Linked DNA regions of Schizosaccharomyces pombe. Changing the gene in region 2 together with the main gene of any one other region gives a genetic interaction. Each region holds a gene or a part of one and is shown on either strand. Other genes may lie near its edges.

Evidence for each region. Genes that interact genetically often act in the same process or in processes that back each other up.
Region 1: mutations in rei1 (region 2) and rrp8 together harm fitness more than expected from each alone (negative genetic interaction), as found in Schizosaccharomyces pombe (one large-scale study listed by BioGRID).
Region 3: mutations in rei1 (region 2) and rsa1 together harm fitness more than expected from each alone (negative genetic interaction), as found in Schizosaccharomyces pombe (one large-scale study listed by BioGRID).

What each region holds. Positions count from the first base shown.
Region 1 is NC_003424.3:1,138,755-1,143,123, forward strand, and holds rrp8 (rRNA methyltransferase Rrp8), read left to right. Parts: upstream 1-1,854; 5' UTR 1,855-1,866; coding exon 1,867-2,823; 3' UTR 2,824-3,248; downstream 3,249-4,369. Other genes in the region: protein ema19, read left to right, coding at 1-363; UBA domain protein Mud1, read left to right, coding at 376-579, 694-1,488; methylenetetrahydrofolate reductase Met9, read left to right, coding at 4,361-4,369. UniProt on the Schizosaccharomyces pombe protein: S-adenosyl-L-methionine-dependent methyltransferase that specifically methylates the N(1) position of adenine in helix 25.1 in 25S rRNA. Required both for ribosomal 40S and 60S subunits biogenesis. Required for efficient pre-rRNA cleavage at site A2.
Region 2 is NC_003421.2:1,220,222-1,225,121, reverse strand, and holds rei1 (ribosome biogenesis protein), read left to right. Parts: upstream 1-1,940; 5' UTR 1,941-2,114; coding exon 2,115-3,506; 3' UTR 3,507-3,883; downstream 3,884-4,900. Other genes in the region: meiotic cohesin complex STAG protein Rec11, read left to right, coding at 1-252, 290-705, 749-1,034, 1,122-1,436; vgl1 (vigilin), read right to left, coding at 4,105-4,900.
Region 3 is NC_003423.3:4,331,057-4,335,330, reverse strand, and holds rsa1 (ribosome assembly protein), read left to right. Parts: upstream 1-1,945; 5' UTR 1,946-2,207; coding exon 2,208-2,585; exon of another isoform or gene 2,586-2,643; coding exon 2,644-2,790; exon of another isoform or gene 2,791-2,866; intron 2,867-2,876; coding exon 2,877-2,975; 3' UTR 2,976-3,153; downstream 3,154-4,274. Other genes in the region: protein Dbl6, read right to left, coding at 129-1,181; vps1302 (lipid transfer protein), read left to right, coding at 3,303-3,324, 3,363-3,475, 3,538-3,690, 3,776-4,274.

The DNA of each region.
Region 1 (4,369 bases), on a different chromosome or scaffold from region 2:
TATTTATCTACATATGAAGACCCTATTCTTTTAATCCCTGCGCCTTGGAAAACTGCATTGTTTTCTTCAGAACTTTTCTTTCAAGTTCCTTTTTTTATTTGGGTTTCTCTACGCTTACGAAAGAAAGCGAGGGATCCAGTTTTATGGGTTGCAATTCTCATATACGGGGTGCATGCTTTTACTACGACATGGTGCTGCATGTTCGAGTTATTTGCTGAAAAAAAATGGATGATAATGAGTTTTTATTTTCCTTATTTGGCCATTCCTTTATGGATGGCAATTGATATGGGTGGCCGATTAGTCAAGTCGTGTCATGCTGCCAAATCAGGTCCTTCCTCTACCATAACCTCAAAGAGTGATTAAGAAAACACAAAAATGAATAATTTAACACCAGAAAATATTCGTCAAACGATTTTAGCAACTCCTTTTCTATTAAATCGAATACGCACAGAGTTTCCTCAACTAGCTGCTGTCCTTAATGATCCCAATGCGTTTGCTACTACATGGCAGTCCATTAATGCTTCTCAATTATTGCAGATTCCTTCTTCTACATATTCGATGGGAATGCCTTCATTTTCTGTACGTTTAATTTCGCATAATAGCGCCCGTATAAACTGCTGAGTCCAATAATTTAGTTTTAATGGACACAATAAATAAAGGGCTTTCGAAGGTGATTTACTAACATTTTTGTAGGAAGATGACCTCTTTGATGTTGAAGTCCAACGACGTATTGAAGAGCAGATTCGTCAAAATGCCGTGACCGAGAATATGCAATCGGCAATAGAAAACCATCCTGAAGTGTTTGGTCAAGTTTATATGCTTTTTGTAAACGTTGAGATTAACGGTCATAAGGTGAAAGCATTTGTGGATTCTGGTGCTCAAGCTACCATTTTGTCTGCTGATTGCGCTGAAAAGTGCGGTCTTACCAGGCTTCTTGACACTAGATTTCAAGGTGTCGCTAAGGGCGTAGGAATGGCTAAAATATTAGGTTGTGTTCACAGTGCACCTTTAAAGATTGGCGATTTATATCTTCCATGTCGATTTACTGTTATTGAAGGTCGGGATGTTGATATGCTACTTGGTCTTGATATGTTACGCCGTTATCAAGCTTGTATAGATTTAGAAAATAACGTTCTTCGGATTCATGGAAAAGAAATTCCTTTTCTTGGAGAATCTGAAATTCCAAAATTGCTGGCTAATGTGGAGCCATCTGCAAATGCACACGGTTTAGGTATTGAACCTGCAAGTAAGGCGAGCGCTTCTTCACCTAATCCACAAAGTGGCACTCGTCTTGGTACCAAAGAAAGCGTAGCACCCAACAATGAGGGATCTTCCAATCCCCCTTCCTTGGTAAATCCTCCCACTGACCCCGGTTTGAACTCCAAAATTGCACAGCTAGTCAGTATGGGATTTGATCCATTAGAGGCTGCGCAGGCGTTAGACGCTGCGAATGGAGATTTAGATGTAGCTGCTTCTTTTCTCCTTTAACGACTTAATTCGATTTCGGGGAGATTGGATATACATAATCAATGATTTTAGTCATGATAAAAATTAGGGAAATGATTATTTTCAAGATCGGTCCTGTTCTACTATTGTAGACGAATTCTTTCAAATTAATGTGTTTTATATCATTTTTTATGTGTTTTGTATCAGAAAGTAAAAATTCTATATATATGCGTAATTGCTTAATCAAACTGAGTTTTATATTTCAAGATTAGTTTTTTCAAGTATTTGTTATTTTAATTTTACGTTCACAAAAAATGAATGTTATTTATTTTAATACTTAGAAACTTTTATGGTTTCATTGGTTTGACGTACGTAGGATGAAGTTTTCTTACAACCAAATTTAATCTTATTCCCTACTTCATGTTTAAAGTAGATTGGGACTTAGGTCCAGTAAGTAAAAGCGCATCAGACCAAACGAAAGAATCTAGAAAAGAAAAAAAAAGAAAGAAAGGTGAGAGAAAGAATGTAGGAGATAAAGGCGAAAAGCTCAACGAAAAAGTTTTAAAAAAGGCAAAGTCGGTTACCACAAACAATTCCCTGAAAAGCGAGATTAAAAAAGAAAAATCAGTCCCTTCTATTAAAGAGAAAAACAAGGGGGATGCTAAGCATACTAAGTTAACGTCTCTTCAACAAAAAATGAAAGATAAACTAGATGGTGCCAATTTTCGATGGATAAATGAACAATTGTACACTACGGAAAGTGACAAAGCTGTACAAATGTTCAAGGAAAATCCAGATTTGTTTGATATTTATCACGCTGGTTTTCGATATCAAGTTGAAGGTTGGCCGGAAAATCCTGTTGATATTTTCATTCAACATTTAAAGATCAGATTTGAGCATTCAAACGCAAAGAAGAAAAACAATATTGTAATTGCTGACCTCGGTTGCGGAGAAGCTAAAATAGCTTCTACATTTAGAAAATCACGTTCTTTGCAAGTGCACAGCTTTGACCTTGTTGCTCCCAATGAACATGTGGTAGCCTGTGATATTGCGAATGTTCCAATGGCTGACGAAACTGTCGATATTGCTGTATTTTGTTTAAGTCTTATGGGCACCAATTGGCAATCTTTTTTGAAAGAAGCTTATCGTATTCTTAAAGTCGGTGGTTTACTTTGGGTTGCTGAAATCAAAAGCAGATTCTCTGATAAGAGTGGAGAAGTTTTTGCTAAAGAACTTCCAAAATTAGGCTTTGAAACTAAGTCCATTCAGCTTCAAAACAAAATGTTTACTCTGTTTGAGTTCAAAAAAGTACCTGTACACGGGAAATGTGAAGAACTCCCTCCCATATTAAGTGCTTGCATTTACAAAAGAAGATAAACAAGGTATTGTTTAGGAAAGAACTGGTCTTTCGGTATAAGAAGGTTTGGGGCTCTTGTATAATAGGTTTTGTTTTAAATTTTGGGATAATATAATATTAAACGTTTACTCTTTGTCAATCGGAAGACGGACTAACGGAAGAACGATAGGTTTATCAATATCGCATGAGAAAATAGGTTATATATTTCAGAAATAACTGTTTCGTTAGAGCTGTGAATATTCGCAAAAGCAAGCAAGAGTCACAGGCTGTGTCTAATCGTTGATAATGAAAAATATAGCTATACCAAAGACCCAAATGCTACATTCTAATTGATGGAGTAATCTATTGGCTGGCTTGTCATATCAAATCATTCATCATTTATTTTGATAGTGCATGGGTTAGACTTTGAGTAATTATTAGATTTTTTTTTAGAATATTAACTTGTGCTATATTAGCATCCTATATTTGATATGTACCTCTAACTTGTAAGTCAAAATTCACATTGAAACAAAAAGCAAAATTCGTTTATTTTTGAAGACAACATTACGAGTATCTTGTGAATCGATAAAACATTTGAATTTAATCCATCGCGGTCAAAGAATAGAAAGAATTTTCCATCCAGTATATTAGTAATTATTAATTATAGGTAGCTCCAGCAACTTATTCATGTAGCACACATATTTAGTTGCCTTAAAGGATGAAACAATGACCAAATGCTTCATTTTTTTTAGCGCTTACAAACTTACAAAGTCAATTTTTTAAAATTGCGTGAACTCTTCTTTCGCGAAGCGAAGGCTGGAGACTACAAATGATATTCATTGAGCACGAACACGACTTTGGTTTAAAAAATGGTACATGAAAATTATTACCAGAATGGGAAATGAGTAGCGTACTAAAACATTTGTTTGTCAACAATACTTGAATTAAGTAACGTTGTGAGTACTTTAAAACGCATTTAAATTGCAGCTATGAATTTTGCAAGGAGGGAAATGATCATTTTTAAATTGTTCAATCATATTACGTTTGGTATACCGATTCGACGTTTGTTTTATCTTCTTCCTTGTAATGAATATTATGCCTTAGTATGTTTGTTAAATAATGTCAGCAATACTGCACTACGATATGACAACTACGTTGCGTATCACTATATGTCACATGTTCAACATCATATCATAGATATCCGTTGATAACTATTTAGAAAGATTGTAAATAGAGCTACTGCTGAACCTCGTTTCTGAGTTCAATTATGAGCTATATTAGTGATAGGTAACATTATAACCCAGTTAATACAATACCTATACTCAGTTGCTACTCAAACAACCTGTTTATTGTAATATAAAAGATCACAAGGAAAACTCGCCGCAGTTCTACGTATCCTTAAATCAGATACCAAACTGCGTAGCTGACAGTTTAACGTATATTAAGGTTTATAATAATAGCTCATTAACGACTTATTACGAGGCAAAACCATGAAAAGTGGAATGAAAACGAAAAAAAAGACTTTGCCAAGAGCCCGCTATTTTGTCAGTAGTTCATTGTTGAATTTGAGAGGTAAAAATGAAAATA
Region 2 (4,900 bases):
TATGATGCGGATTTCATACGAGAATATGATATGAATAATCATAGGCAGCAATTAATTGAGGAAAGCATGCATTCCATTCATACAAACTCACAATTACTTGCCAGTTGGGAGGATGTTGCAAAGCTCTTGCTTTATGATCGCTTTGATGCAAAAGATACTAACAGTGTCTTAAACCCCTGTATACCGAGCAACGCAGTGATAGAATTTTCTTCTATCTATCTCCATTATTTTGCAACACATATTAGCAAAAGAGTAAGTTATTTAAAGCTTCATATTACTAAACCTCTAGTCGAAGAAGCCAGGTAAAAGACTTGAAGATGAGGTCGTAAACCAACAGCAAGCAATGTTACGAAACCTTCCATTACTATTACAGAAATACAGAGAATCTTGTGTTTCATCATACTTTTTTATAAAATGCGTAGAGCAAATTCCTGACGAGCTTCTTTATAAGAGAGAATTTCATAAGGACTTTTCAAAGTTGTATAAAGAAATACTGGATATATTTAATTCAACTACCGTTAACTTCCTGATGATTTTGTGCAGCAGATTCTTCCACCGATTGGCGGTCAACAAAGTTGTACAGGAAGATATATTATTTGCCATTGACAATGTATATAATGATTTAGCAGAAAGTTTACACGAGCAACTCAATGCATACATTCAAAGAAAAAAAATAAACAAAAAAAATCAGTTGAATGGCAATGAGTAAGGATTTTTCTTTTTGTTATTAGATTGCTAACTTTACAAGTGAAACGCAAAACTTGGTTTTAGCTTTAAATAAGTTTGGATGCTTTGCAAAGGAAATGGTCTGTCTGCGAGACGTCAATGATTGGAACATTAAACTGTCAGAAAAATTATGCGAAATTTGTAGTCTTGAAGTCGGTCCTATCGTCTGTTATTCTTCTTTGAAAGTTTTATTTCTTCTTCTGCTTTCTGATATGAGAGATAGAAACTGTATTTTTACAAATATATTTTTAAAAGCAGCTAAGGTTGCGAAGCAAAAAAATGGAAACTCCTTTTTAAGCAAAGTTTTCGTAAGTCTCTAATGTTGCTGTCTATCTATCTTTTATGACTGTTGATTTCAATCACATTTAGTGGAGTAAAATGCTAACTATAAGCAGATTACAATTACGATGCTTACATTGTTTCTTGGATCAAAGGCAAATAATTGGGATATAAATTTTAGTGACGATGACTTGAAATTGATGAATGAAGAAGAAATCATGGAACAAATTGAAACTTTTAAAGCATGGTCAATGAAATTTAAAGAGAAATCATCTGGAAACCCTTCTTACTTTTTTTCACCCGAAGATACTGAGGAGAAGGAATTATGGAATAATCTGTTTGAGGATTGGTATCCCAATCGTGCTAGAGATCCTGGAACACTGAGTCATTTAGTGAAAGGTTTAAAAGAAACAGCTGACCATTTATCATAAAACGAAATTTTAACACTAATTAAACCCCGAGGGAAAAGAGATAAGAAAGCACATGTGCTAACTTTCTTATTGAGGCAAGGAAACTTATTAAACAAAAGGAAAAGACATTAAACTCTATTATGTATTTCCTATATGATTATTCCAACGAAACTAACTCAAAAATACCTCAATTTCAAATACTCAATTTTAATTAAACCCTGAAGAGTGGGAGCTCGTGTGCTCGCTAAAACTACAATGCATGCCATTTCTTTCTTTCCAGCCCTTTGTCTATATATGAGTTTTCTTAGGACTTACTGGTTAATCAAAAGGTACGCCTTATGTTACTAAGCAATAGAAAATGTTTTTGAGGGATGCATAAATTAAGTTTAAAAAAACAAGACATTAAGATGTTTAACATATCAATTAATTTTATTTGATTTCAATAAAATTGATAATTATTTGACACTTTAAAATAATTTGGTGGTGCTACAAGTTATGTAGGCAATAGTTGATCGTAGGCAAGTTGGATTCAACCAACACCTTTTTGTGCAAGGTATTGTAAAAAAGGGTTGACTTCATCTCATTAAGTTAGTTTGAGTCAAAGAATATATTTGAGGAAAGACTCGGCTTCAATATCAATTTTTTTTTCGATAAAAAAGTGTACTGGCTAAGAATTGAATTACTTGACAGAATACCGAAATGTCGACTTCTTTTGCTTGCACGACTTGTACTGTGGCTTTCAATAATGCAGAATCACAGAAAATACATTGGAAGTCTGACTGGCATCATTATAATCTGAAGAGAAAGGTTGCTAGCTTGCCGCCGTTGAGTGCTGAGGTGTTTGCTGGAAAGATTTTGTCCATTCAAAAGCAGAACGAGGAAGTCCAGAAAAAAGCAGAATTTTATCAAAACTGTGAAGTATGTAATAAAAAGTTTTATTCAGAAGGCGCCTATTCATCACATATGGCTTCGAAGAAGCATCGCGATAACTTGAGCAAATTTCAAAGAAACAGCCGTATTAAGAAACTTCAAAGTGAAGATGCAAGTAGTATTGCTTCTTCAACCTTGTCAATGGGTGAACCTGTAGTTGATAGCGAAATTGAGGAAGAAGAAGATTTAGCTTCACAACTGACATCAAGGGCGATATCCCTTTCCAACTTATCTCTTCATGGTCGAGAAAGTGAACCCTCTAAAACTGAATTGGCTACTTCCATACCTCAATCGAACGAAGCTTCCAAGTCTCATCTATTTACACAAGAACCAACTCCTGAAGAAATTGAAGCTGAACTTGCTCGTCGAAGTAGTCAACGTCTTTCACCAAGAGATTGCCTGTTTTGCGCAGCCTCTTTTTCTTCATTTGATACATGCAAGAAGCATATGAAGGCTTCTCATAGCTTGTACATTCCTGAGCGGGAATATTTGGTAGATGAACCAAGTCTATTCGATTATTTAGCAGAGAAAATTTCTATCGGCTTTACTTGCCTTACCTGCAATCGTGAATTTAAATCACTAGAAGCTGTTCGTGCCCATATGCAGCAAAAGGGGCATACCTCTATTGCCTATGATACAGAAGATGAACAGCTTGAACTCTCTGATTTTTATGATTTTACTACATCGTATCCTGACTATGCAGTAAAGCAAGACGAAACTGTCGTAGAAGAAGATGGAAGCTCTGGTGAAGGAGACTGGGAAGATGTTTCTGATGATTCAGATAACTCCAGCTTAGATAGTCTTGAAATGGGTCGTGTACCCATTGCTGACGAATATGAACTTCATTTACCCTCTGGTAATCGTGTGGGCCATCGTTCGTTATCTCGCTACTTCCGCCAAAATCTTCACTCTAGTTCTACCGCTGTAGGAGATGGTGCTTCTATTCATCAGAACGTCGCCAGACGTGCGATGAGTGGTAATGCCCGAGCTTATAGACAAGCTGTTGAAACAAGTATAGCTGGTGTTCGCGATGGCCGTAAGAATTATAGTGCCTCTCATATCAAATCATTCCAAGACCAAAGAAGAAGAGAGGAATTTGCTAACAAGATGGGTATTAAGAATAACACAAAAAAGCATTTCCGCGATGCGCTTCTTCAATAGTCTATTTATTGTACGAGGCCTTTTGTTTCTTTCATTATATACTTCATACTCCACATTCTTTCGTCTCATATTTCTCCTTACTTCCGGTGTTCTTTATTTTGGGGTTTTCTGGGTTTTTTTAACTTATTTACGCTATTTGGAAAAAAAAAACGTCCTAATATGGTTCTTCTTTTGAGAAATGGTTAAATTTTAGCTCGTTGTTTGTAAATTTATAATATTCTTTTACTAAAACTTGTTGTGTCCTATCTGTCGTACAATGCTTATTTTCTCATAAAAAATCATAGATTTCAACTATTCTAGTTTCTTGAATTATCTATACATTCCAATGTTTATATCTGAAAAGATTGAATAAATGCACTAGGTACGCCTTTTTCCTATGCGTCTATATTTGTAATATTAAACAAAGGCAATGTAACAAAGCAAAGAAGGAATCAATAAGGAAAATGCTCGATTCAAGCAATTTCCGTCTCCTTAAAAAATGACATGTAGTAATAAAAGAGCGACAAAATGATATTTCGTACACATAATTTTCAAATACACTCTCAAAAAAATTTGAGAAATGAATGTAAGTACTAAATAAAGGCTCCAAAATTTTACCTTACTCTTGATTTTGGTTTTCTTGAAGTCTCTCGAAAATCAGATCTTTAGCCTTGACAACGCCAGCTCGACTTCCTTGGACTACTACAATTTCATCGCCTGGAGTACGAGGAACATCAATTTTAACTTGGGCGATCTTTCGGATCTTATTAATAATAGAGCCACCAGAACCGATTATACGACGGTGCAAGTTCGTTGGGATACCCAAGTAAGCAATACAATTTTCCATAACTTGCTTGATAGATTTTTCCAATGAAGCGATAGCCTTTTCAACATTTTCCTTATGTCCTCGAACAGCCCACTCAGATGAAGAAGAACCAGTGTAGTCGTGAGTTACCAGTTTCCAAGGGAAAACGCCATCCTCGTGGTCTTCAAGAACAACCTCCGTGGGTTGTACAGGCTTGATCTCGGGGGTATCAACAAACACTTTGAGATCGGATCGAAGCTTTTTCATTAAAATACCTTTCATTATACTTTCATAGACCGTATCGGGAACTGTAATCATCTGGGTATATTGACTGGCAACCTTCTCTTGAATCATTTCCTTGGCTTTTTCACAATTCTCCGGACTTCCGACGATTGTAATAGTGACAGTCTCTTCAGGGTCAAGAACATTCGGGATGTTGAGCATGGTAGACGTTTTCCTTTCGATGTCACGACGAGTGGAGCCCATTCTTCCAATGATTGAGCTTATACATCTCTGCGGGACTTCAATCTTCTCTTCGACTTGGTTCTTCAGCTCTTCAACTATCTCCAATAATCGGGTCTCAAGGGCTTCAACGATTTCCTTGTCGCCT
Region 3 (4,274 bases), on a different chromosome or scaffold from region 2:
GCGCTGTAACATTGTAAACTAGATTCAACATGATAAAAAGCTACTACAAAATAAGTTGCGTAAAAAGATAGGAAATTAATTATTCAATTATTGTACAAATAAATACACACTTCGCAGCGTGAGCTAGTTCATAACTTTAAATTCATCAAGACTTCGTGAGTATCCTTAATCTTCAAGGGGCTGACCATAACAGAATGAATAGGAGAGCATTTCTTATCCAAATCATAATAAATGGAAGGAGATACAGCTCTTCTCTTCGATAAGTCGATTATTTCTTCGCCCCATCGAGTTCGCTTTTTCGAGGATGGGGTACGGGATCTGGAGTGATTGCTATTCGGAGTTGACATTTCTGTATCCTTAAAAAATACAGAACTGGAAAGCAGAGGAGATATGGGCATCTCATTCGAAGGCTTAGTAGATGGATTGTCCGTATTACTACTGTCCTCTGCAGATGACTCAATTACATCAGAGTTCTCAACAGCTTTCAAAGATCCTGATGGTGCGAGAACATTACCATTTGCACCTGTTATAGAACTGTAAAACGGTACACCCGGACCTACCATTGCAGGCGAAGCAGCTCTAGAAACAAAGGATGATGATTTTTTAGGCTCGAAAAACATCTTGGAAAATTCCGATTCACTACGGATTTCCAACTCCAGAGGAGATGATTCTTCATACAAGGCACTGGCTACGCGTTGGAACATTTTCGGTTTGGGAAGCAAAGACTTTCTTCGTAACACAGGACACAAAGATTTCGAAATTCTTCCAGAATGAGAGGGACTACAAAGGTCCTTTAAATTTTTTACTTCAATATGTTTATTTGGAGTCTTAGAAAACGAACGCTGATCCAAATTTTCATTGTAACTCAACTGCCTAGTTCCTCTAGCCATGGCAGCGGACGGCAAGTCTGTTGTAGAGTCTGATATGTACTCGGTATCATCATCTTCCATATCGGTCAGTTCTGAATCAAGTGGAAACATAGATTCATCAGTTTCGTCGCTCATTGAGTAATTTACATATCTTAATCCGATTGACGGTGAAGCTTCAGGAGAAGGGGCTGTAAAAGTTTGATGCAAGCTTGAGCACCTAATACTTTTCTCTCTGTTTCTTACAAAAAAGTTCAGACTTGAATTTGATGTTGCTGTGGTCGGTTTTCCAGGTGTTGGATGAAATGAATCCATTTCGACAGTATATCCCTACAAAATACCACAAAGACTTAAAAATAATATAAAGGCCCTATATTAAATAATCATTCTATATTTTATTGCATATGCTTTACAATTGAAAAAAATTCGTATTGACGAGGTGACGATAGGCTTCAGTTAAGATCTCGGGAGCAGTACAAAACATAAGCTTAAACATAGTTAATTCCAAAAGAGGATTCAAATCACCATTCTCATAGTAAAGCTTAACAGAAATTAACTTAATCAATAAATGAGAATTGTATAAGCCGCTTCTTTATACATAGTAAATATTAGGACAGACTATATTCAAGTAAGGATATTGTTGATACACTCATCAATTTTAATTTGCTTCAGAGATGTAAAGCAGGAAATTCAAAAGTTAAAAAATCGACAAGTGAAATTAGCTTATACATTCTGGATATTATCACTGTCCCTCTATATAACTGAAATTAAACTGAATGAAATAAATATTGCACAAATAGTCTAGTGTTGGTAGAATAATTAATTATTTCAATAGGGAGCTAATACTGTGAAATTAGTAGTATTTTGCTGTTCTACATTACATCTCGTTTTCAAGTTAGTTGTTGAGTTGGGGTGTATGATTCTGCTGTATACACTCAATGTTTTTTGCCACTTTTTCATATTATTCACAACTCCATTTGAAATTTGGAGCAATTAAAGGCTTATTTTTTTTATAATTGCTTTATCAAGCGAAAGGTGCAAAACCTAATTTAGTCCTACATCGACGTCTTATATTTTCTGATACACACACCTACATCAAAACCAGTCATCGTAAATTTTTTTAAAACCATACTTCAATTGAATCTGTTAATCAGGGTAACACAGCGTTTAAAAATAATCATATATTACATTTTGGAATTTCTGTAAATTCTCGTTTATGAGAAACACGTTCCTTACTCTATTGATTGTGTTTTGCAATTTCGCGTTGCGGTGATTATACATTGACTTTGAAAACTAATTTTTCAATTTGAGAATTTATCTTGAAGCTTTGAGTTATTTGGGATGAATCCTACCTCATTTATATATGATAAACCTCCACCTCCTCCCATCATAAACAAACCTTTTGAGCAAACGAATTCTTCTGCCTCCTTGACTCAAAAGAATTCTAGTAGTGAGACAGAAAATGTAGGAAGGCATGGGAAACGGCGAATGGATCAAGATCTTTCTTTTAAGCCAACAAAGCGAGGCAGTGGAAGAGGAAGAGGGAGAAGTTTTCGAGGGGGTTCACATGCCGGAAATACTAGGGGAGCTTGTGCAGTTGATGGAATAGAATACTTGAAGCGAAGGAATATTTCCATTAATACACCTGAGGAAATTGAAGCTTGGATTCAGGAGAGAAAAAAGAATTGGCCAACAGAGAGTAATATTCGCTCAAAACAAGTATGTCTATTTAGGTTTGCTCTAGTTGTATTCACACGTACTAATTGATGGTAATAAGGAAAAAGAAAAAGTTATGGAGAACTTAGGCGCTGCAGATACTTCACAATCGATAGACGCTCAACCTACTCCATCTCAGCACCCTTTAGCACACCATGAGCCTCACGAAAAAAGAGGACCTCCTAAAAAAAAGAGTCTCTATACAAAGGTACTTATATTTTCATTTTAGCCATTTAAAATTGGTTATGAAAAATGTGTTTATCCGATTCTTTTTACTAACATTGAACTTTCCAGTTGCTTAATACTCAATTGGAGCAAGAAAACATCTTCTTCCTTCAATTCATGAAATTATACCTTAAAAAAATGGGAATGGTTGTTAAACCTGTATCATGACTGCTGCCAAAAAATTATTTGCTATGATTTACCGCTGAACCACTCCGACTTTAGTAGCTACTTCTTCAAAGAAAACAGAAACTAAATTTTTTTTATTAACATATTCTAATGGATTTCTTGAAATTTTTACAAACGTAAACGAGATTTTTCTTTTCTTGAAAATGTCTGTTACTTAGCTTAATGTTACTTATGGTGTAGGCGTTCACGTCATGCTCTGACATTCTATCTTTATAACCCTCAACGCAGTAGTTGTAGCGTTCGAAACCATCTGTAAAGCAAAGTTCAAAATATTTACAGTTTGCTGTTTCTCACCGTATTCCCTTCAATATGTTAGAAGGGTTACTAGCAAGTAAGTCTTTTGTATTAAATACGAAACTAACGAAAAAGATTTTTTAAATCGACTCTTAGGAGAATACATTGAGAATTTTGACGCTACTCAGTTAAAAGTCGCTGTTTGGAACGGAGATGTTACGCTACGAAACTTGCAGTTGAAACGGAGTGTATGAGATTATAAGATGAATTATATTGAAAATTTTGATTTTGTATCTAATAAAATTGTTAGGCTTTCCGTAAACTAGAATTACCAATTTCGGTTCAATATGGTTTGGTTGAAGAACTGACACTCAAAATACCATGGTCTTCTTTAAAGAATAAACCAGTTGAAATATATATAGTTGGAATTCGTGCTTTGGCTTCAATGGAAGAAAATGTGAAGGTAGGGATCAAATATGAATATAGAATAAAACAGCACTTAGGACAATATAACGTTGTTTTAGAGCAGTTACTAACCATATTTATAGTCGCAATCAGAAGTTGACCCACATCAAGTCTTAGAGTCAAAGAGAAGACAAATGCAACTGTGGGAGGCTTCACAGATTGGCAAAGCAGAAACGGCATATGACCCTAAGACACAAACTTTTACCGAGTCTTTGATTACTCGAATGATTGATAATATTCAAATAAATATCCGAGATATTCACATACGTTTTGAACACTTACCTGTTTCCAATGTTGTTCCAGGTGGCTATTCCTTTGGATTGCTTCTTTCCGAATTTTCAATAGAATCTTGTAATGAGGAATGGACTTCGACATTTGTAGAAACCGAATCCCAAACTATCTACAAACTCTGTTCTTTACGAGGATTTGGTATTTATTCTGATGAGACTGCGGAATGCATTGATAAAACTGATATTAATGAACTGATGAACACCTTTCAAGCTTTAATTACTGATTTTCAATCGCGAGAGAAAGATTATATTATTGCTCCAGTAACTGGCATGGCAAAAGTTACTATTAACA